Linked DNA regions of Astyanax mexicanus. The protein of the gene in region 2 purifies or fractionates together with the protein of the main gene of each other region. This does not show direct contact. Links are inferred from orthologs where the notes say so. Each region holds a gene or a part of one and is shown on either strand. Other genes may lie near its edges.

What was found.
Region 1: the proteins of slf2 (region 2) and smc5 purify together in Homo sapiens (affinity purification with mass spectrometry; 3 studies listed by BioGRID and IntAct, with this or other methods). This does not show direct contact. The link is inferred for Astyanax mexicanus from reciprocal best matches to the Homo sapiens genes SLF2 and SMC5.
Region 3: the proteins of slf2 (region 2) and slf1 purify together in Homo sapiens (co-immunoprecipitation; 3 studies listed by BioGRID and IntAct, with this or other methods). This does not show direct contact. The link is inferred for Astyanax mexicanus from reciprocal best matches to the Homo sapiens genes SLF2 and SLF1.

What each region holds. Positions count from the first base shown.
Region 1 is NC_064427.1:23,096,557-23,104,235, forward strand, and holds the start of smc5 (structural maintenance of chromosomes protein 5), read right to left. Parts: upstream 5,216-7,679; 5' UTR 5,166-5,215; coding exon 4,987-5,165; intron 4,252-4,986; coding exon 4,110-4,251; intron 3,888-4,109; coding exon 3,835-3,887; intron 3,580-3,834; coding exon 3,417-3,579; intron 3,079-3,416; coding exon 2,944-3,078; intron 2,358-2,943; coding exon 2,217-2,357; intron 1,716-2,216; coding exon 1,554-1,715; intron 1,461-1,553; coding exon 1,389-1,460; intron 1-1,388. Other genes in the region: mamdc2b (MAM domain-containing protein 2), read right to left, coding at 6,535-6,578, 7,437-7,521, 7,620-7,679. UniProt on the Homo sapiens protein: Core component of the SMC5-SMC6 complex, a complex involved in repair of DNA double-strand breaks by homologous recombination.
Region 2 is NC_064414.1:27,838,515-27,846,193, reverse strand, and holds the start of slf2 (SMC5-SMC6 complex localization factor protein 2), read right to left. Parts: upstream 4,390-7,679; 5' UTR 4,284-4,389; intron 2,555-4,283; 5' UTR 2,507-2,554; coding exon 2,470-2,506; intron 2,046-2,469; coding exon 1,615-2,045; intron 1,469-1,614; coding exon 1,238-1,468; intron 731-1,237; coding exon 697-730; intron 592-696; coding exon 1-591. Other genes in the region: cpxm1a (probable carboxypeptidase X1), read left to right, coding at 5,822-6,062. UniProt on the Homo sapiens protein: Plays a role in the DNA damage response (DDR) pathway by regulating postreplication repair of UV-damaged DNA and genomic stability maintenance.
Region 3 is NC_064429.1:25,827,441-25,835,119, forward strand, and holds the start of slf1 (SMC5-SMC6 complex localization factor protein 1), read right to left. Parts: upstream 4,226-7,679; 5' UTR 4,162-4,225; exon of another isoform or gene 3,898-4,161; intron 3,821-3,897; exon of another isoform or gene 3,406-3,820; intron 2,309-3,405; 5' UTR 2,308-2,308; coding exon 2,197-2,307; intron 1,872-2,196; exon of another isoform or gene 1,797-1,871; intron 755-1,796; coding exon 676-754; intron 1-675. UniProt on the Homo sapiens protein: Plays a role in the DNA damage response (DDR) pathway by regulating postreplication repair of UV-damaged DNA and genomic stability maintenance.

The DNA.
Region 1 (7,679 bases), on a different chromosome or scaffold from region 2:
CGTCACTGAAGACCACTTTCTGCCAGTCTTCAGCAGTCCACTCGCCGTGTTCTTTGGCCCACTTCAGCCGTTTCTCCATTTGTTTCTTGTTCAGCATCGGTTTTACTGCTGGAACGCGAGATTTGAAGCAGAGTTCGCGCAGACGACGGTAAGTGGTTGATCTGGAGACGTCAGCGCCGGTCTGCTTGTTCCACAAGTCGGTGAGCTCGGAAGTGGACTTGAACCGGTTGCTGACTGCGATCTTTCTCAGCTGCTTGTTGTCGCGAGCAGAAGTTTTTCGGACGCCGGAACAGTTGGTGCGCTTGCTGCAGTTTTTCTTGAGAGCTTTGCAGACGGAAGACTGGCTGATGGCGAGCTGCTCAGCAATTTTAGTTTGGGTCAAGCCTTGTTGGCGAAGGGCTTGAATTTGAGCCACTATTCCGGTTGAGAGGTCGCGCTGCTTACCCATGATTGATTTTACAACTTAGAAATTCTACTCAACCCTGACTTTATACTGCACAGTGAACACTCTTCACAGAAAACAAAAATTCGAGCATTTATTCTAATTCAATGAAACGGTTTCTCCATTATTCTAATTCAATAAAACAACAGTGTCACAGTTAAATGGCCTAAATGGGCCTTTTGGAAAGCTCAGCTGAGCAATTTTTTTTCCAGGTAACGAGTTCTGTGATTAGTCTAACGAGTAGGACAGGTGCGGTGAACACCTGATTTGCTTTCTGCACAAAAAATGCATTCAAAGAATTTCATGATTGCACTATTTCAAATTATTCTAATTCGTTGACCAGCACCTGTATGGTAAATATGGAATAAAACCAATTTTTCGTCCAATTTATTTGGGCAATTTGTCCCACCCATTCAGGAAAGTGCAGCGACTCTGTTCCAATACATCAGCTCACAGACGCATTGTGCTGGTCCACGTCACCCTAGGAATGATGTGGGGAAACACTACCATCTAACCCACCCAGAGAGAGCAAGGCCAATTGTGCTCTCTCGAGGCTCTGGCAGCTTCTGTGTATTTACAGTAAGCTTAGATTTCCAGTATTTTAGCGGGGTTAGCTGCGCTGAGCTTAGCTGCGCTTAGTGATCTAGCGCTGTACTTTACTAAAGTGGCTTTACTGTTCTGTACAACCTGACTGGTAGAATTCACACATAAGGCACACCCGAAAATAAGGTGCACTTTTTTCAATCGATTTTTAGGATAATTAAAGGATTTTAACTGCAACTTATATTGCGAAAGGTACAGTAATTATACTTACAGTGAGCTTTTTTCTTTTCTTTTTTTTTTTTTTTACTGTGCAACAATATGGTATTTTATGCCACATGTACATAATTACTGAAGCCAAAAATTATATTGTTATTTACTAAAGGCACAACAAGCAGCCTTTTACCTCCTTATGTTTCCGGTCCAGCTGGTCTTGCTTGTGTTTGCATCTCTGTGACGCCTCTCTGATTTTAACAGTCTGTGAATACAACAATAATGGTCAACAGTAAATTCAACAGTGACAATATAAGGATTATAAAGGGAATTTGTCTGAAGGGAGAAACTTCAAGACCTTCTCCTTCATCTGATTCTCAATAGGCTGTAGCTTGCTTTCCATAGCCTGGATCTTTTTCAGAAGGGGAGCTTGAGTTTCCTTTAGTGACTTTGCCGTCTTTTTCATTTCTTCCCTCTGCTTTTTAACTTCTTCCAGTTCTTTACGAGCTGTCTCGTACTCCTGAACCAAGAAATAAAGGAAAAAGAAAGTCGTTATCCATATTAACCTCTTGAGAACCTGCATCCTCATAATGGAAAATTACAATTCTGCTTTTTTGCACCATGATTCTTCATTTTTTTAAAATGGCGATTCTTTTCACTGCCCATACCATTCAATTTCATAACAACATTACACTCAATTGATTAAAAGCAAGACGGCAGGAATCCCAGTAAAAGATTTCTACAGCCAGTACAGACAGAAACATGGGCCAGGTAAAAATTAACAACAAATTTAATGTTCTTAACAAGTTTATTTACTTTTTTTTTGGACTAAGGATCATTTTAAAGATTAAAATAAACTAATGTCCATATGTGAACATTGCTTTTTTTTTTAAGTCAGGGTTTCAGAAGATTTAAGCACTTAAGCGATTATTTACCAATAGTTTCCACAGCCAGGTAAGACAACCAGCAAACATTACAAAATAATAAAAAAAATATATTATGCACAGAAACAGACACTGACCACCCAAGGCTTCTTTTTCTCCAACATCTGGATCATATCCAGATGTCTCCTCTTCATGTGGTACCGTTCCACATCCACCTTATTGCGCTCGTTCCTCTGCTTTGCTTTCTCTAGAAAGTTGGCCTTCTCTTTACACAAATTCTTTAGAAACACAGAAACACACAAAATAGCCCATAAGCATAGTATCCCTCAAATCAAATTAAATCAATCAGATGTAAATTTCATTTATTTTGGTTTTAAAATGTAAAAGCAAGTTCTTATTATTCCTTAAATATACAATACCCACACAAAGACTTAATCCCAGACTGCATGCTTTCTTTTATTTTAGTTATTTAATTGCATAATAAAATGATCATGAAGTTGCAATAAAGTTATGTATAGCAAATATTGCTGAAACTATTATACAGTTTAAGCAATAATAATCACCATGACAGGCCTACCGTCTGCCTTTATACACTCATACACTGTGTTACACTTATAGGGCTGGTTCCCTGAAGTGGGCTCAAAACTAGTCCTGGACTACAGAGCATTCTGCATGACAATATCAATGCATAACAATGCATTAACCAAAATAGCCTTAAGAATTAGCTCTAAATGATCTAAATTCATACATTACTGACAATAGAATGTAAAAACGCAACTACTCTAAAAGTAATTTCTCCTTTTCACCATCACGGCATGTCAATTTGTCACAGATTGATACAAACAGTCACAACAACAAATGTACCTCCAGGTCCCTCTCTTTGGTGCGACAGGTCTTCAGCTCACAGTGGAAGTTGTACATCTCTGGTGGTCCAACAGATTTTTCGGTGGCTTCAAGAAGCTCAATCTTACTCATTTTAGCGAATTCACCAACTTTCTCCTGTTGAGCAGAAGAAAGCACTGTAAAGGCAAAACTTGGTATTTAACGGCTAATGGTAATTTTGCACTCTTAACACTTAATATAACTGATCCAAGCTAAAAATTACACACACAGTATTTTTTGCCCTATAAGGGGCACTTAAAATCCTTATTTTTTTCTAAAAATCGACAGTGGGCCTTATAATTCAGTGCTCCTTATGTATAAATTATACCAGTCTGATATTAAGGAGCAGTAAAGCCACTCCGCTGAAATGCAGTGTTATAAGGGTAAGTGTTCAAAGAAGCCCGTATATATATATATATACACACACACATTGAACAGTTTGCACAGTTACTCACCTGAGGCAGAAACTGACAGAGGTTTCCGACCTGAATCTGGAGCTCCTTGACTGCTTCTTCCACAGCCTTCTGACTGGAGTGTTTACCGTTCATCATCCACACGCTCTGATTATTTTCTACATGGATCTCCCTGTTAATCACCAAGTTTCCCTCTTTCCTGTACCTGAATAAACAGTGGGTGAAGCATTAGACGACCTAGAGATGGACCTATTAAGAAATAGTTAGTCAACTGCTCACATCTTATATTGTTCGTGTTAATATATACCAGAGAAAATACTTAAACATTTAAAACATGCAAAAAAATACACAATAAATGGTTCATTAAATGATAAATAAAATGTTATGTCTATATTTTTTAAATTATATCTATCTTTAAAGATAGGAAGCGAGGACAGACAGACAGACAGACAATACTTACAGTTCAATTTCCACAGATCCTTTATGACAGCCTCTCTTAACATACAAGCTGACCTGAAAAAACAAATATACAATGAAAAACATGCAATAATGTTCATCAAACAAACAACATCAAACAAAGAGCTGATGCTCCCCATGTCAGGAAACAAGTCTGAATACCTCGGCTCAATATGTATGGCTCATTTGTGGTATCGAAGACCTACAACCCATAAACATATTATTATGTGTTCCTAAGAGTCTACATGAAATAAGAACAAACAGTGTTATCGGGCTTACCTTATCCCCTCTGCCCAGGATAGCAGTCTTCCCTGCCAGTCCAAGACAAATGGCACAGACAATACTCGACTTGCCAGTGCCATTGGCTCCCACTATCATATTTAAGTTGGGTCCAGGGTAAACCTCTGAGTGATCATATGTGCTGAAATAAAATGATGCAGAGCTTTCAGACCTCAAATAATGTTAAGAAAACAAGTTCATGTTCATAAAGTTTTTTTTAAGAGTTCAGAAAACAATATTTGGTGGAATAACCCTGGTCACAGTTTTCATGAATCTTGGCATGTTCTCCTTCACCTGTCTTACACACTGCTTTTAGATCATGTTTTGCCACTCCTGATGCAACAATTTAAGCAGTTCAGCTTGGTTTGATGGCTTGTGATCATCCATCTTGCTCTTGATTATATTCCAGAGGTTTTTAATTTGGTAAAATCAAAGAAACTCATACTCATAATTTTTAGGCAATATATACATATATATATATACATATACATACATATATATATATATATATATATATATATATATATATATATATATATATATATATATATATATATATATGCATATAGAGATATATTTAGGTAGATAGATAGTTATATATAAACATAGATAGATATTTATGCTAGCGCTAGTTAACAAGGTTAGTAACTTGTCATTAAATGTTTACAAACGTCAACCCAGAATATAAAACATGACCCTCCGCCTCCAGTTACACACATCACCCATAAATATAATATATAGACAGAAGTTTAAATACTCAGCACAGGCTGCTCTACAAATCATGAATAAACTCGTATTTATATTAGAGAATCTGAGCGCTGCTGCTGTATAACACTGTTAGCCTGTTAGCTTAGCTAGCGCTAGCTTAACTACTTACAGGAAGTTTTGCATGGTGATGCGGCGAATGGATCCCTCCACGCAGGGGCCGCTCTGCCCGTTCTCCTGGGCGAAGCTGCCATTCTGCGAGCTGCAGGGCAGCAGCAGGTTCTGGCTGTTGGGAAGCTGAGAGTTTGTTAAAATGTGACTTATTCTCCTCTTTTTGCTCTGGAGCGCCATTCTCCCGCACCTCTCCGCTTTCGTTTCGCGCCGCTGTAGCGCCTCATAGCCCACTGTCATTGGCCGCCGCCGGTCACGTGACTGGCGCGTCCCTCTCTTCATTCAGGTCAAGGATAAACATTCAGTTAAACCAGGAATTTACTGTTATATTTATTATATCTAATACGTTCTGTATACACCAATGCAAATTTAAAATATTTGTTTTTAGTAAGGTTTTTGAACTGTATAAACCATTTCTCTTGTTTTACTCGAATAAATATTTAGCAATCTTGGTCTCAAAGCAATTTATACTTTTGGTCTCTGTATCCCTTATGATCTGATTTAATTTAAGCTTTTTTTATAACTTCATGTGCTGTTAAAATGTCCAGCCCATATGCTACTACTAATTATTTACTACTACCACTACTAATACTACTACTAATAATAATATGCTGCTACTACTACTACTACTATACTACTACTGATAATAATAATAATAATGTAACCTATGTATGTTAACTTTGAACTTTTTATAAGGTAAAGATGTGCTGAGCAGTGTCTGTACCTGAAATGTATCATTAATAAAAAATCAGAATAAAAAAAATAAAAATCCAACAGATTTCCAACATAGAAGACAATATACATTTTGAGTGAAAAAGACATTTAAAAACTAGTTTCTCGCAAATTCAACTTAATAGAGAGGTTTAAAAAATCGATGTTAAAAATTCAATTTTATGACTTTATAATCTGGACTTACTTTACTGCTTTGCACTCGCAGGAATATTATTTTAGTGGCGAGTTCCCAACATTTAAAGTTATGTAACAGAAATAGACTGTATTAAACAATTTATTCACTAGAGGGCGGTAGGTGCTTATTTTATACACCAATAGCTTTCCTCCAGAAATCATGATACATTCATATATCATCTAATGCTTAATAATCATTTTATTTTTTATTTATCACGTTTTAAACTCAATTTTTTATCATTGGTGGAAATGGTGAAAATGGTTCAAAAATAAAATCTAATAAAATAAGAGTATTTAAAAAGAATTTAAACACATTTGTAATTCAGTATAATTTCCTCTTTATTAAAGATTCTCCATAAACACTATATCTACTCCATAGTTCAGTGATATGTATAAACCAAACATACTGCAGAACTGAGCTTTATTAAAAAATCTTTATCATGACGCAATCATATAGTACAAGCAAACTCGTAAAATCCTACTTTAATCTCCCAATCCAGATAGCAAATTTGTTTTCAAGTTAGTTACAAAGAGCGAGGAGCCAGGGATGACTGACTAACTCAAAAAACACATCTCCTCTTTTTCAAGTGTTCCCCCAAATTTTGTTAATTACGATTAACCTCTGTGTGCTGTATTTAATGTTTTATTCAATGTTGTTAAGATCTCCAGATGCTGGCCGGTCAGAATCTGTGGGAGGGAAAGAGAAAGAGTTTATTATTTTTACAATGCCTTGATGGGTGTTTTAGAGATGCCCAAGAATAATATTGTACATTTAATATTATTGAGTATTATTGAGACAAACACATCAAACTATTCATATATTGTTGTTATATTTTATGTGTAAGTGCTGTAAATGCCTGAAATTCGTTTCTTTTGTCGCCTAGAAAATACAGATAAACTGACCAGAAAAGGACAGTAACAGATATTGCTAAATGCTTATGCTAACCAGAGAAAAGACAATAGCTGACTGTAGGCTAATTGCTAATATTAGACTAGCCAGAAAAGGTAGAATTGTTAATGAAGCTTAAAGGAGAACCTATGGTGAAATCATGTTTAAAAAAAAGTAATGCGTGGCTCCAACTTAATAACTGAAATCCTAATGTGTGGGAACAAAATAATTAAGGCTTGAGAACAAGATCCTAATGTGTGGGAATGAGATAATTAAGGTGTTGGAACAAAATCCTAATGCGTGGGAACAACACAATGAAGGCTTGGGAACGAGATCCTAATGTATGGGAAAAAAATTATTAAGGCTTGAGAACAAGATCCTAATGCGTGGGAACAACATAATTAAGGCTTGGGAACAAGACCCTAATGTGTTAGAATGAGATAATTAAGGCGTGTGAACAAGATCCTAATGCGTGTGAACGAGATAACTAAGGCTTGGGAACAAATTCCTAATGCGTGGGAACAAAATATTAAGGCTTGGGAACGATTTCCTTATGTGTGGAAATGAGATAATTAAAGTTTGGGAATGACATCACATGATATCACCTTAGATTAAAAGGCATATTATAATCTGTGTATCATTAATGCGAGGAATACCTTTGCAGGGTCCCTTTTGAAATATGATGTCATCAATCGCAATATCACTTCGTAGAGACGGCCCCCGGAGAGCTTCAAAAACGATCTGAACCAGAAGAAGAAAGATACGTAACAATTACATGAAAATAAGATCTCTTTGAAAGTATGAACACTGGTGGATTGTGGGTAACTAAGTTTTCTTACTTGGTGTGAATGATCATACTGGTAGCTCACTGATGCTCTAACCCAGGAGATGCCCTGTTC
Region 2 (7,679 bases):
CCTTTCTTGAGTCAGTAAGCTCAAGAGAGGCAGGAGTTGTAAGTTCTGATTGGTGGAGAGGCGAGCTGATCTTAATGTCATCAATAAGGCCTGGTAAGGAACTTGAGTGTGAGGACGCAGGTGAACTTCCTTCATTGCTGCACTTCCGAGTATGCTTAGAGAAGACTGAGCTATCTACACTGTATTTGCTTTCACTAGACTGTATCTCCTCTCTCAGATGATCTGTTCCAGAGGTTTTAAAAGGCTGAGTTTCTGAGTGGGGGTTGAAGCTCTCTGACCTTGGTTCTCTGCTTGGCTCTTTGAAGAGCTGTCTAGCTAAACTGCTGGACAGAGAGGTAGAATCATAGTTTGTTTTGCTTTTGTTTCCACTACGCTCAACTAGTAACAAAGAACCTTTCTCACTACCCGTCTTGAGGAAGGCACGTCTGATATACTTTGGAGGTGAGCTGATACTCTGAGCATTTAGACTAAAAGAACCAACATTGGCAGAAGTTGGAGTAATACTCTTATCCTGACATAATCTCTTGCCCTCCCCCTTTGAGTCCGTACTGGACCCTCTTCTTCTCTTCAGTGACAGAGATCTGACACCAGCTGGTAAAAAATAACACAAACTCATAAATATGATAAAATGTGTTATTGCAGAGCTTTGATTTGCACATTTAAGAGGTTTGCTACAGAAAAATATAGACACAATACCTGGTGTAGTTGCCTGGAAGGGTGTGATTTCTTCCTGAGAAGACCAAACGAAGAAGCATTACAAGAATAAGCATTACAAACTTTGCTGTATTATTATATCTGTATTATTATTATTCTAAAAGTGTGGGCTGTGGATCCCCATGTGTCACTGGCATTCAGCCATGGGTTCATAGGCAAATATAAACTATATTAAACTTATAATAAGAGCCATAAATGTCATACAGAATAGCCTGTTATCTTGAAATGAATGCAATGTTGCATAAATTATAAAAGTATTGAGACACTGTTGGGACATTGGGACACTGATTTTAGAACTTTTTAATGACTAAATCTGATTAAATATAAATCAGAAAATTAAAACAGTGTACATTTCCCTTTTGTATCACGCAGCAAAATAGTTCTAAAAAAAATAATTTGACACTGGACATTATACGATGTGATTAGTGAGCATGTGCATACTGTGATAATAAATCAATTAATATATTTAAGTAAGTAAACTAGGTTTTAATTAATTTGGACCTTTGTATAAATGGGTTCTCACCTGCTCTGGTGAAACAGGACTGAGCAAAGTAGAGTTGTGACCCCCATTCAGTAGCTTGTCCACCTTTTCTGCAGAGTGCTGGCCTCGCTGCTCCATACTGCTGCCAGGAAGCTTGCCTCCTCTCTGAGTGGATGATGAAGTGTGGCTCTCAGGAACTGGTCTTGAAACATGCGTACGAGGCACAGGACTCTGCTTATGGAGGCTGTCTGAGTGCAACAGGGTCTTTCCAACCTAAATACAGAACAAGGAAAAATGTCCATTTAAGTCAACAAAGAGTAGATACAATCAAATACTTAAAAACAGTAAGGTATCCTAGGAGCATATATAAACCTCACAACTCTATCTTAAACATAAAAAACAAATATTTAAGTAATCACCTTGAGATTCTCATTTAACTGTTTACAAAAAGCCCAGGCAAATTCTTTGTTTTTGTCTTTGTTGTAAGAACCCGAAGTTTTCTTCAGTGGGTCTTTTTTAGTAGCAGGTCGGAGTGACACTTCCTTAATGGAGTGACTACTGTTGTTGTCGTCCAGTTGCAGTTTTCTCAAGAGCACATTGGGGAGACTTCCCTGACCTCCTCCAGAGCCTTTTCTGGAGCCTGTAGAAGAGGCTACAGCAGATATACTCTTCTGCTCAAGCACTGAGCTTTTGATAGGAAGCATGGGTTTTGGCAGTGGGTTTAAAGATTCCTGCACATTAACTTGCTTCTCGCCAGTTTCCTGAAATTGGCAACATGGTGCCAGTTGAGTTGTGCTTGTCTCATCAGCACTGTATCTTCGAGGAACACCGAGTGGAATGAGCTCCTTCACTGGAACAGAAAAATTACAGCGTCAAACTTGCTCTGAAGCTTTTGTACATGAATAAAGCATATTATACTACATCATAAAGCACATAAATCCAACGCACAAAACCACTCAGCCTGAATGATAGCCATGCTGGTGTAATTAGTAATAGATTAGTAATAACCCATTTTCAACCATTTACTGATTTTTGACTATGCCCAAGCTTCAAACATGCAAGTTCCTGCAAATCAGACCCATAACCTCACAAGTAAAAGCGATTAGAGACATAGGAAGACACAGCACCATTCCAAATCACCAAACCTTTACTTAATGAAGCAAGACAGGCAGAGGCCACGGAACACGATAGTTTATTTTGCAGTTTAGATAAGAGACAAGTAGCAAATCAATAAATCAAGTTCTCATTTAAGATTCTGCAAATGTATCCCTCACCCATAGAGTTGATATGCTGCTTGAGGCTACTTTTCATTTTAAATGGAGGAAAATAAAAATGCGTCCTTAAAATCTCTCAGGTCATCTGTGCAAAACAAATACTAAAAATGAGGTGATGCAACAGACTACCAAACATGTACTAAACAATAACATAAACCTACACATCAATCAAGTCCTGAACACTGCGACAAGCCTTGCTTTTATATTTTATCCCTGACAGATAATTACAAGAGTACTTTGGTGTGATTAATTGTGAATTTTAAATCAATCATTTAATATAACATCCTACTAAAATGATTTATAGGCCCAGTTAGCTAATAGTAAACATCAAACATGTAAAAAAAATCCTCCTATTCAAGGGCTCAGAGTGGTTCAGCAGGCTAAGAGCTGCCACTATGATCAGGAGCTCGCCGGTTTGATTCCTGTTCATGTAGATTTCCATCGGCTACAGGAGAGAGCACAATTGGCCTTGCTCTCTCTGGGTAGGTAAATGGCGCTCTCTCCCCACATCACTCTAAAGGGTGATGCTGATCAGCAAACGGCATCTTTGAGCTGATGTATCGGAACTGAGTTGCTAAGATGCTACTTGGCAACGCTGGAATTACCTAAAATTCTCCAAACTGAACAGCGGACATGTTTTGTTGTAGTCACACCAGATACTTTTTCCAGTTGCGATTATGTAGATTCATTCTCCTAAATAAATAAATGCCCAAGGCTTGTTTGGTTTTAAGTTAAATAGTCAGCTCTGAAAAAAATAAAAGACCACCTAAACCAGACCAGACCAGAACTGCTTGAATTTTTGCAACAGCAGTGGCATAAAGTTATCCAAAAGCAGTGTGTAAGACTGGTGGAGGAGAACAGGGCAAACTGTATGAAACTGTGATTAAAAACCAGAGTTACTCCACCCTTGATTTCTGAATTATGAATATGAACTTGTTTTCTTTTCTTTTGTTATTTCAGCATTTTCTAATTTTCTGCAAATAAATGCTCTAAACGACAATATTTTTATTTGGAATTTGGACAAATGTTGTTTATAGTTCATAGAATAAAACAACAATGTTTATTTTACTCAAACATATACCTAAAAAAAAGCAAAATCAGAGAAACTAAATCAGAAACTAAAGTGGTCTCTTATTTTTTTTTCAGAGCTGTATGCAGACATATAGTTAGCAATAAGCGAGACAATTTTCGCTAGTTTAACGGGTTCGCAAACATCAATGCGTGACAGTAAGTTTCCGAGATGAATTGAAGGCAGCATTGTTTATACTGAGCGGTCTGTGTCTTTTGAGTAGTTAGCTAATGTGCTAAAATAGCATGCTAGTTAACATCTGAGGTAACTAATGAGGTATTTTAGCTACCCAACCAATTTAACCTAGCTAGCCTAACTAAAACTAGCTACGTTAACTAGATTAGCAGTTACGATTCGCTGAGCAGTCTAAAGTTAATGCTGCCTAAGCTAACCTAAGTTAACCTAGCTAAGCTAACGAGCTAGTTAGCTCACTTCCGCGGGTACAGTTCAGTGTCGCCGACAAGCAACCAGCTAAAATAACAAATCACAGTTTTAGCTTCATTAAACAGCATACGAATCTGCTGTTCGTATCGATATTCAGAAAGCCGTAAGTCACTGAATTAGCTAGGTTAGTCTTTTAACAGCTAGTTCCCTGTGCTAACACTAGCTCTGTTAACATTATACACTGTAGTCAGTATAAGACAGCGTGTGTGAGCTATCCTGCTACAGTTTAACTGTCTGTCTGACTAAAGACTAACCGGCCGTCTAATATCCTGCTGCTTTAATAACAAAACATCCGCCATACCTTCAGCATATTATTTAGAGTGAAACGCGCTCTTTTCCCTCCGTGTAACACAGCCCAAACACACTGCAGAAGCCGCCATTTGTGTGTGGGAGGAGTCAGACAACTTTGTTGTTTTGTTTTTTCAATAACCAAACCGGACTCAGTCTGACAGCCCGCCGCTGTTCAGAGAGGAGCCCTGGCGCCCTGCCAAAGTTACTCTTGCCTGAGTTGAAGGTAGCTGGTATTTACTGCAGCTACACATTAAGCTCTTTATACTGTTTCATGACGTTTTAAATTAAATAGATTTTTATGCGTGCGTGTGTATATATATTCCATCACCTTCATTTTCGTATTTCACCTGTTTAAGAAATTCCACCATTTTTTGTTTCCACCTATTTGTAAAATCCTCACCCATTTTTTTTTTCACACCCACATTTTATAGGAATCTCCACTCCATTTCCGAAATTCCGCCCGTTTTCGTTTCACACCCGTTTTAAAAATCTAAAATCTAAATCTAAAAACTATTTTAAAAAATAGTGTTTCTGAGTTTTGGCACAGTTTTTACGGGTGAGCGGGACTTAGAGTAGGGCTTAAATATTAAATCTTAAACCTTAAATCTCCATTGGTCAGCTGATTTTGGACTGACGGGTAACCCTCATCTGAGACCGACCACGCCCACCCCGCCAGCCGTAAGCGTTCGTTCAAACCTGTAGTAGTTAACGGGTTCCAGTGCTTAGCAGCAGCAGATACTTTCCCAATTTAAACAAACGTTATGTTTAAGGTTATATTTATTTTCTAAGCAAGTGTTTCACTCCATTAAAAATCTCACGTTAGCGAGGTACTAAATAATCATGCTTAAAGTATGCTAGTTAGCTTAGTCAGTGAGTTAGCTAGGGTTAGCTAAAGTGTCTGCTGCTGTGAACTGGAGCCGTTCGCTCATCCAGGTTTGGAAGAACCCTGGAAGCTGGCGGGGTGGGCGTGGCCTCAGACGAGGGTAAGGGTCAATCTAAAATCAGATGACCAACGGAGGAGCAAAAAGTCTTTAGCAGCAAAATCCACAGAAAATCCACAAAAACACAAAATGAAAGCAACGACTGGCAAAGTCCCAACTGAAATAATTTTCAAGTAACTGCAAAGAATAATAAAGTAACCGAGTATATTCAAAAAAATATATATTTGCTATATTAGTTTCTCTTTTAAATTTGCCACAAACACTTTTTATGTTTGATTCTTAAGATTTTCATTGCAGATTTATTTATTTATTTATTCTTTGTGTAAAACCTTTGGCACAAAATTCACTCCTTAAAATGGTACCCATTTGGTGGAATGGCCCAAAACTGTTACTGAAAGTAAAAGCCTCGAGCTGCGTTTAATTTTACATATGTATATAATGTACGTCTGTATATTAAACATAGCCCTGTTTTAGTCAGGCAGAGGATAACAGGGCTACTACAGGCTTTACGGTAAGTGCAGTATTGGTATTGGGTTACTGGGGCGTTTAAAGAGTTTTTTGACCCCAGAGTAAAGTGGGCTCACTGCAGCAGAGTCAGTCAGTCACTATGATCGGACAGAGCCTGCTCAGCCTGCTGCTGCTCGTGCTGTGGTGCTTTGTGCACGAGTCCACATCTGCAGAGAACGCCACGCTCCAGAGTAACGGGACTGACACTGTGTTTAATAATAACGGGACATTATTAGCTTTTAATAATGAAACGCGGAACGAGACCGGAGCGAAAGAGGCAGCAGAAGATCAGCGGAGGGTTCCTGAGATTCATCCGCAGAAAGAAGAGCCAAGCAAACCCGGCGAGTTCACCAGATCAGTTCAGCATGAGAACTGAAGCTGAGAAATGAAGCTTGTGATTTATATCACATTTAGATAGATAGGTAGATAACTTACATGCATGCAGTAGAGCAACTGTGGTTTGTTATATGTGCTGACTGTCCTGCTAAAACAAACAGAACCAGCTCGAGCTGTTTAGGCTGGTTGATCAGTTAATTACTTTTACCAACATACAGCTCTGGAAAAAAATAAGAGACCACTTTTCTTTCACAGTTTCTTTGATTTTACCAAATTGAAAACCTCTGGAATATAATCAAGAGGAAGATGGGTGATCACAAGCCATCAAACCCAGCAGAACTGCTTCAGTTTTTGCACCAGGAGTGGTATTAAGTTATCCAAAAGCAGTGTGTAAGACTGGTGGAGGAGAACATTTCTATAAACTTGTTTTCTTTGCATTATTTGAGGTCTGAAAGCTCTGCATATTTTTTGTTATTTCAGTCATTTTACAGTTTCTGCAAATAAATCCTCTAAATTACAGTATTTTTATTTGGGATAAATGTTGTCCGTAGTTTATAGAATAAAACAACAATGTTCATTTCACTCAAAAATATACCTATAAAAAGCATGTTTTATGTTTTAGTTGGTTCTACAAGTATGACCAACCTGATCAAGCCAGTAACCAGCATGTCTAGTAAAAGCAGGATGGTTGACCTGCATGAAGAACAAGTTGGTTGACAAGCAAGACCAACTAGGATCAACATGAATAAGCTAATCAATTGCAGCATCCACTCTGCTGGTCAAAAACTGGTGAACCACCAATGCTTGCTTGACAAATCAAGCTGGATTTGTCATCAGGGAGCGCTTTTTTTGAACTTGGCTTATGTCCTGATGGCTTTATTGTAAATTAGTTAAAAAAGATAGGGTTGCTATCAAATACACTAATGTGCTTTTTTGTGACAGATACATAACTTGAATTAATTGATGTGAGTAGGCCTGACAGTATGCCTGATATATCTAGCTGAAATCTCTAGGAATTGGCAGGTAGGCATCGAATAGGATACTCGAATTATTTATATCAAATCTCTGAATCTTTCTGTTTTGTTTATGAGACAAAAATATGTTCCTGGTAATGAATGAGATATACTCACAAGATAAAATAAACATGTCACAGCATTTAAAAAGTTTATTGTGCTTTCCACACTATACAAAGTATTGTATGTTTATGCAGATGTTCTCCAAAAGGTAGAATATTTTGCTGAGTAGTAAATGTGGTCTTTATACTTTGAAACAAAAGTCTGATCAAAACCACACAGCTGGAGGCAGTTGAGATGCACTCCTTTCTTGTAAGTGTTTACAGCTTGTGGGAGCTGTCTTGAATGGATACTTTAGTGAGTTGTGGTTTAAATGAAATGTTTAGCAAGTCGATGAATGAGTTGTTGTCAGGTTGCATATATTTTTTTAAAAGTTCATTTGAACAAGGCCTATTTTAAAATTACTTCAATATATTGATGATGATGTTATCCATTCAGTCGTATCCGACTCTTGGCGATTCTATGGGCTAGTTCTCTCCATGCTGTCCGATCTTGTACGACATCTGTCATCTGACTTAACTTCAGTCCAGTATCAGCTTTGATGGTGTC
Region 3 (7,679 bases), on a different chromosome or scaffold from region 2:
ATGATTTTGGGAAAATGGCTCCCTCATTCTTAGGTGCATCATGGTCCTCTCTTAAATATTTTTTGTACAGGTCAACAGGACAATTTTCAATGCACATTTTTATTAATCAAAAATAGAAGAACTACCAAATATTTCAAATAAAAAATATATAATTAGTCTGTATGTCTGTACTTAAAATGTTCATTCATCCTTTTGTTCCATTAGCACAAAGCTACCATTTTAGAGATACATGACTTATACAGGTGTGGGTGTTTATAAGCTGTATTAAGTTGTGAGGTGTTATCTAGTTAGTGAAGTTAAACACTTGTCAGGCATTAACACCCACAGTGGACAGCACAGTAAGTGGTAATGATCATAGCCGACAGTTTCTGGCTAGAATTGCCCATTTAAACCTATTAGATAGTAAAATATATATATGCAGGTGGTTAAGTACATTGTACTTGTGTAGGTGGAGGAAAAACTGAGAAAAAATAAATAAAACACAGAGTGCAGAAATAAAATTTAAATGCATACATGTTTTACAATCACATATGGCATAAAAAAATAAATTGTAAGGTATTTAGATAAAACGCTAAAACTTTAACCCCTTGATTACTATGGAAAACTATAGTTTTTTTTTAACATTTTAGATATATCAGGTATATCAGTAAATAAATAATTATCATCGTCACTAACCTCCAGCACATGCCGAGATGAACTTCTCACTTGCTGAAGCATGAATAACGATGAGATGGGTCATCTCCTCTCTGTATTCCTGCAAAAAAATAAACTGTTAGTTTCTGCATATAACCATAAAAAAACAGCTTCTAGATTCTCTAACGCACAAAGTCACCTTTCTATTCTGGTTTTTAACCTGTCAGTAGAAGAGCAGAGCCAAAGGTCAAGAACTGCGAGGTGGATTTTATACCCCTGAGACTTCAATTAGTAGGAAGAGCAGTCAGTAACTAAATTAAGATGGTATTGAGGGCAAGGACAAAATTACAGAGACAAAAATACACCTTAGCATCGGCAAGCAATTAGGGTCATTTTTCAGGGCTAATCACTACCACTTTATCTTTTTGGGAGAATACGGTAAGGTGGAATGTCATGGAAGTGCTAATGCCGGTCGGTGTTATTTGCTAAAAGGCATCATATTATAAGTAGAGCCGTAGAGCTCTTGAAGGACGTACCCAGATTGTGGAAAAATAAGGGTAAGCTAAAGGCCAAAAGAACATATGGCTTTCAAACATGAGGCCTGGGGTCATTTTCACCAACACTACAAATGGTGTCTCAACTGCTGAACAACACAGTGTAGATTAGCCTGAACATAAACATAAATGCTGGCCAAAACTAGTGTATGGATGTTTATGCATGTTTAAAACATGCATCATCAGACACTTAAAATTGCTAGTGCCCATTATAAAAGTGCTTAGAACACAGCAATTGCTGGTCTATGCTGAAATGGTTCTGCAGCATAACAATTAATAGTTTATGTTGGACTATTTTTATCATCATCATACACATACAAAACACAATGAATGCTGTTTTTTGAGGGACTAGTGCTAGTTAAGTGCTGTTTTACTAGTTCAATTGTACTAAAAATACAAAAAAAATGCTAATTTTTACTGGGTTAGTTATAGTGTAGTGCTTCTCTACCAACATTCCCATATTTACCATCAAACACATTTTTGAACCACAAGAATTACTGTTTATTCTGGACTAATGCTGGTTCACTGCAGCTGAACAAACATCTCTGTGCTTAAGACACAACAAATGCTTGTTTATGCTGGTGTAGTTATGCTTTAGTGCTTCTTTACCTGTGTACCCAGGTACAAAACACAGCAAATGCTGGTTTATGCTGGACTACTGCTGGTTCATTGCCGTTTTACCACCTACAGGTACTCAAAACACAAAAATTGATGGTTTATGCTGGTTTACCTGTGTGCCCATGTACAACACAAAACAAATGCTCGTTTATCCTGGACTAATGCTGGTTAATTGCTGTTTTATTAGCTTATGAGTACTAAAAACACAACAAATGCTGGTTTCGTGCTGGCTGATCTACCTAATACATGCTGGTTCCCACTGTCTTTTAGAACATCAAATTCTATAGCTAATGACCAGCACAATAGTGGTGCTGGTCAATCATCTGGTCATGCTAGGCCATGCAGACTATGTGCAGCAGAAGTGTGTATTTCTAGTAAAACGGATACTCACAGAACCTCCTATATAACTCCCATGTAGACACTTGATTCCTTGAAGGAGCTCTCGTTTCTTCTGGAGGTTCTTGATTCCAGACATTTGAAACACATACTTATTCCCCAACATGCTGGAGAGACAGGCAGAGTAGGTGACAGCAATATTCACATTGCTGCCGTCAGCCAATCATCTTTTTTCTCATTTAAAATGCATTCCTAATTTACATCATTTTCTACCCAAACTGAAAGGGCCAATTGAGAGAGAGAGAAAGCAGGGCCAATTGAGAGAGAGAGAGAGAGAGAGAGAGAGAGAGAAGGGCCAATTGAGAGAGAGAGAAAGCAGGGCCAAATGAGAGAGAGAGAGAGAGAGAGAGAGAGAGAGAGAGAGAAGGGCCAATTGAGAGAGAGAGAAAGCAGGGCCAAATGAGAGACAGAGAGCGAGCAGGGCCAAATGAGAGACAGAGAACGCAGGGCCAAATGAGAGAGAGAGAGAGAGAGAGAGAGAGAGAGAGAGAGCAGGACCAATTAAGAAAGAGAAAACAGGGACAATTGAGAGAGAAAGTATGGACAATTAAGAAAGAGAGAAAGTAGGACCAATTAAGAAAGAGAGAAAGTAGGACCAATTGAGAGAGCGAGCAGGGCCAGTTGAGAGAGCGCGAGCAGGGCCAGTTGAGAGAGCGCGAGCAGGGCCAGTTGAGAGAGCGCGAGCAGGGCCAGTTGAGAGAGAGCGAGCAGGGCCAGTTGAGAGAGAGCGAGCAGGGCCAGTTGAGAGAGAGCGAGCAGGGCCAGTTGAGAGAGAGCGAGCAGGGCCAGTTGAGAGAGAGAGAAAGCAGTGCCAATTAAGAGAGAGAGAGAGAGAGAGAAAAAAGCAGGGCCAATTGTGAGAGAGAGCAGGTCCAATTGAGGGAAATCAGGGCCAAATAGGGCCAACATTTTGCATGACAGTTACAAGACACATTAAATATATCTGTTGTATCGCTGTTATTGCTGTAATTATATAACAATAAAGCTACTTTGAATCTTATGTGTGGGAGACACAGAGATAGATAGAGACAGACAGTCAGAGAGAGAGACAGAGACAGAAAAGTAGAGGGAGAGACAGAGACATAGGTTAGTTATACATATAGACAGTTAAACTAGTTGGCTAGGTTAGGTAGGTAGGTAGTTAGCTAACGTGTGTGTCTTTTTCAGCTTATTTTATTTAAATATTCAGCTGCAGCGGTCTTACCTTGTATTATTGTGCAAATACGATAGCCGTTATAATATAAGAGCTGCTGAAATCACTAGCTAAGCTAAGCTAAGCTAACCATACTGACTAACTTAGCTTTAACTGACTTTAACTGACTAGTGTCACTATTAGCTAAGTGAACCCAGCGTTAGCGGTAGCGTTAGCCATTTTCGAAGCCGCGCCAAAACTCCTGCCAAAAAAGCAGAGCTTCTCGGGAAACTAGCGCTATTAAACTTCCATAAGCCGTCCCATCTTCAGCCAGTGCGCCGTCCAACACGCTTTACTAGTTACATATAATATTCCACAACGTATCACATGAAGACAACTAACCAGATTAAAAATATGGTTATAAAACACATTCAGAGTGTGCTTGTTTTGCGTCCATGTCAACTGACGTGTGGGTTTGGGCTGTATTACCGTGTGCGCTGCTGCGAAATACGGGGGTGAGCTTTAAGAAGCGAAAATATGAATAACTACCCTAAAACGTGAGTTAATGAACATTTAAGTGGTTTAAACTAAATTAAAGATCAAATAAAAAAAACATACAGTTGAAATAATCAACGTAAACGCAGATAATAACGTGTAGGAACACGAAAAGTCTCCCCCGCCTTCATGTGTGAATGGTTTGCTCCGCTCCGTGTACAGGATGTTTGGAAGCGGAGCTGCACGCGCTGGTTGTTAGAGACGCTTTGGTTGATAAGGTGCTGGGTTTTGCAGAAATATACTCTGAACCGGGGTTTTAGGAAGGGATTTTACCTTTTTTGTCGTGTAAAAACTTCTGTTATCTCAGCATGCACCAGATTAAAGCCTGTTTTCCTCGTTTTTGCTCTGTATGCTAGCTAGACAACACCATGCTACCGTTAACTGCTTAATTCCCTTCATAGCTAGCTAGCTAATCAAACACCACACATTTAGCTAATTATCTAGTTATCTACAGGTGTGTGTGAGTCAGCTGGCAGCTAGATAGTTAACGTTAACTAGTTAATTAATCCCCCTCATTGGATACTAAGCATTTTTTCTTTCTATGTGACTCCAGTCCCTTCTTTAGGTTTAATCACTGTTTGATTAAATGACTGGAAGAGAATATAGAGATTATTTTTTCATTATATTTTTAAGGTTTTAAACACAGTCAGAGACTATCATCACGAGCTTCTTAGCTAACTAACTAACTTACTCAGTAACCTGGACGTATTAGGAATAAACACATCTATTAGTGATATTAAACAATAAGAACAATGAGGATAATGATTATATTCCCTGGTTCCATGGATTTGGAGTGCCACTGACTGCATGTTCTACACAATAAGGTAACTAGCTACAGTAATAAAACTGTGTAATGTGGGTCTGTTAATGTATTATAAAATGTTTATAGAGGTTTTTTTTTTAATCTCAGTTAACTTGTTGATATTCTCTTTTGTATTATTACAAAGGCAAAAAACACAGCTGTTACTTTTGTTAGTAAAAACTTACATGATCAGTGCAAATATTGCAAAATTTTATATATATATATATATATATATATATATGTATATATATATATATATATATATATATATATATATATATATATATATATATACACACACACACATACATCACATTCATCATCAAAGTACTTTGGAGAAAGAACAGGAGTGTCCAAACTTTTTTTGTTGAGGTCCAGAAGGAGAAATATATTTGAAGTCATGGGCCACACTCTGTAATTAAACAAATAATAAAAAATACCACTTTAAATAATACTTTTTTCCTGATTATTTCATTTACACACCATTTTACTTGACTTACTATCTTTATCTTTGACAGTGTTGTGTAAACTAAGATTTTTCAAATTGATGTTTCATTTCATGATGTCTCTTAATATTAAACTCCTTAATTACGGCAACTTTTAGACTCTTTGGCCCGTTTTTCTGCGCTAGAAATGCACACCCTCTCCGCTTTTAGACTCTTTGGCCCGTTTTTCTGCGCTAGAAATGCACACCCTCTCCGCTTTTAGACTCTTTGGCCCGTTTTTCTGCGCTAGAAATGCGCACTCTCTCCGCTTTTAGACTCTTTGGCCCGTTTTTCTGCGCTAGAAATGCGCACCCTCTCCGTTTTTAGATTCTTTTGCCCAGTTTTTCTACGCTAGAAATGCGCACTCTCTCCGCTTTTAGACTCTTTGGCCCGTTTTTCTGCGCTAGAAATGCGCACCCTCTCCGCTTTTAGACTCTTTGGCCCGTTTCTGACACCTAGCGTTCAAACTTTGAATCTCACATTATAAAAACCTGCTTAACAGCGGGCCAACTTTCATTCTATTTCTAAAATACCTCGCGGGCCGCTCCAAAAAAGGAAACAGGCCGCAAATGGCCCGCGGGCTGTAGTTTGGACACCCCTGACTTAGAACTATACATACAATTCAATTTAATTTTTCAAGTGGCAGACTTAAAAGCTCTGTGTAATGAACATCAGTCAGTAACATATGCTGTAAGTACTTTGAATCTCTTACAACGTTAGACCAATTAAGACCCATTGCCTAAAATGACAAACAATGTATACAGGCCATACATAGACACACAGGTCAGAGGATATTTTCAAAAGATTCAAGACTATGCAAATATTAATAGAATATTTTAACATATTTTGATCTAAATGTTAGATAGTAAAGCCAAATAAAATAAAATATTGGATGTTCTTAGTATGGTTTAATATAATTTGCTACGAGACTATTATTATGAAGCCCAAAATGGCGGATTAGCCATAGCGTCTAATGGATAACTGGCGACTCTAATGGTTATCGAGCTGAATGTTTGGTAACAGATGGATGAAACTGTTCTGGTTAGATTAGTAGGTTCTGTGGTTTGATAGAATATGTGGGTATAGTTATAGTTCACACCGGTCTTTAGATATTGACCGAAATCTGTAGTAGGTGTTGGCCTATATGTTAGCCCTAATACTGTTTTCCGATTATTAATGGCTGATTTTTGATATCAGACTGATGTTAACTACTGTGCTGGTTAGATATGGTATGCTCTGCTGTTTGATGTGGGTGCATTCCTGTAATAACTACTAATTAATCAGCAACTGGAGCCACTTTTTATTGGTTTACTGAAATCCACACAAAGTTAGATATTTACATACTAATGATATATCTACTGGATCATAATATTTTTTAATGTTCTTTCCAATGTACTTTCACATGCTCATGTTTTAAATAATTGTAAATGTACAAAAGTAACCTGAAAAAGGGTGTATTTTCGAAGGGTGTTCATGTTGTTTTCCACAAGATCCACGTGAATATAAATTACAAGGTCTGAAGTTGTTAATACGAGCTTCTGAGGTGGATCTGAAGGCAGTATTAGTTCATAACTCCTGAAGTGGTGGAAAGTATGAGATGATGGTCGTGTTTAATTTAGCATGTTTCCTTAAAAGTGAACACTTGCTCTGTTAGGGCATTTAGTTTTAAGTGAGGATTTCGGTGGCGTTTTTAAAAACGCCGGAGGAGGCACTGCCTGCTAAATATTTCACACCTTCTCCAGGCTAAGTGGGCTAATGTGTGTGTGTGTGTGTGTGGATGGGTAGAAGCATGCTTGTTTCAGTTTAAGTGCTGGGAGAATACATCTGGCCCATGTCTCTCTCTCTCTCTCTCTCTCTCTCTCTCTCTCACACACACACACACACACACACACACACACACACACACACACACTGAACTTCAGCTCAGTCTTTCTCTCTCTCCTGTGGCACCTCTCAGAAGTACTGGGAGACTCCACAACATCTGAGTTGAAAATAGCTAACAAGACAAAGAAGATGGAGCGAGCATCTGCCTAATTAGGCCCTGTGTGGTGACAGGCTGAACCTGACACTTTTCCCACAACTCTCATGTGGATCACACACCGGCAACGATGCACATCCCTTTGTAACACAGGCTGCACTCACACACACACTCGTACACACTCTCACACACACACACTCACACACACACTCACAATGACTCACTCAGTCCCAGTGTAATTACACTGTAGAGTTCCTAGTCCTAGCCCCGTAAAAAGCTTCCCAAAGTGTTTCTCTCTCTCTCTCTCTCTCTCTCTCTCTCTCTCTCTCTCTCTCTCTCTATCTCTCCCTCTCTCCCTCTCTGTACAGACTCTGGGATGCTCATATAGAGTTTAGAAAATAATAAAAGCGTGAGCTTAACTGCAGAATCTGTCAGCTGAGGGAAATAATATTTGTCCAGCCGGACAGCCCTTCTCTCTCATTGTGCGGGTTAAATTAATGTTGAGATCTGTGTGTGTGTGTGTGTG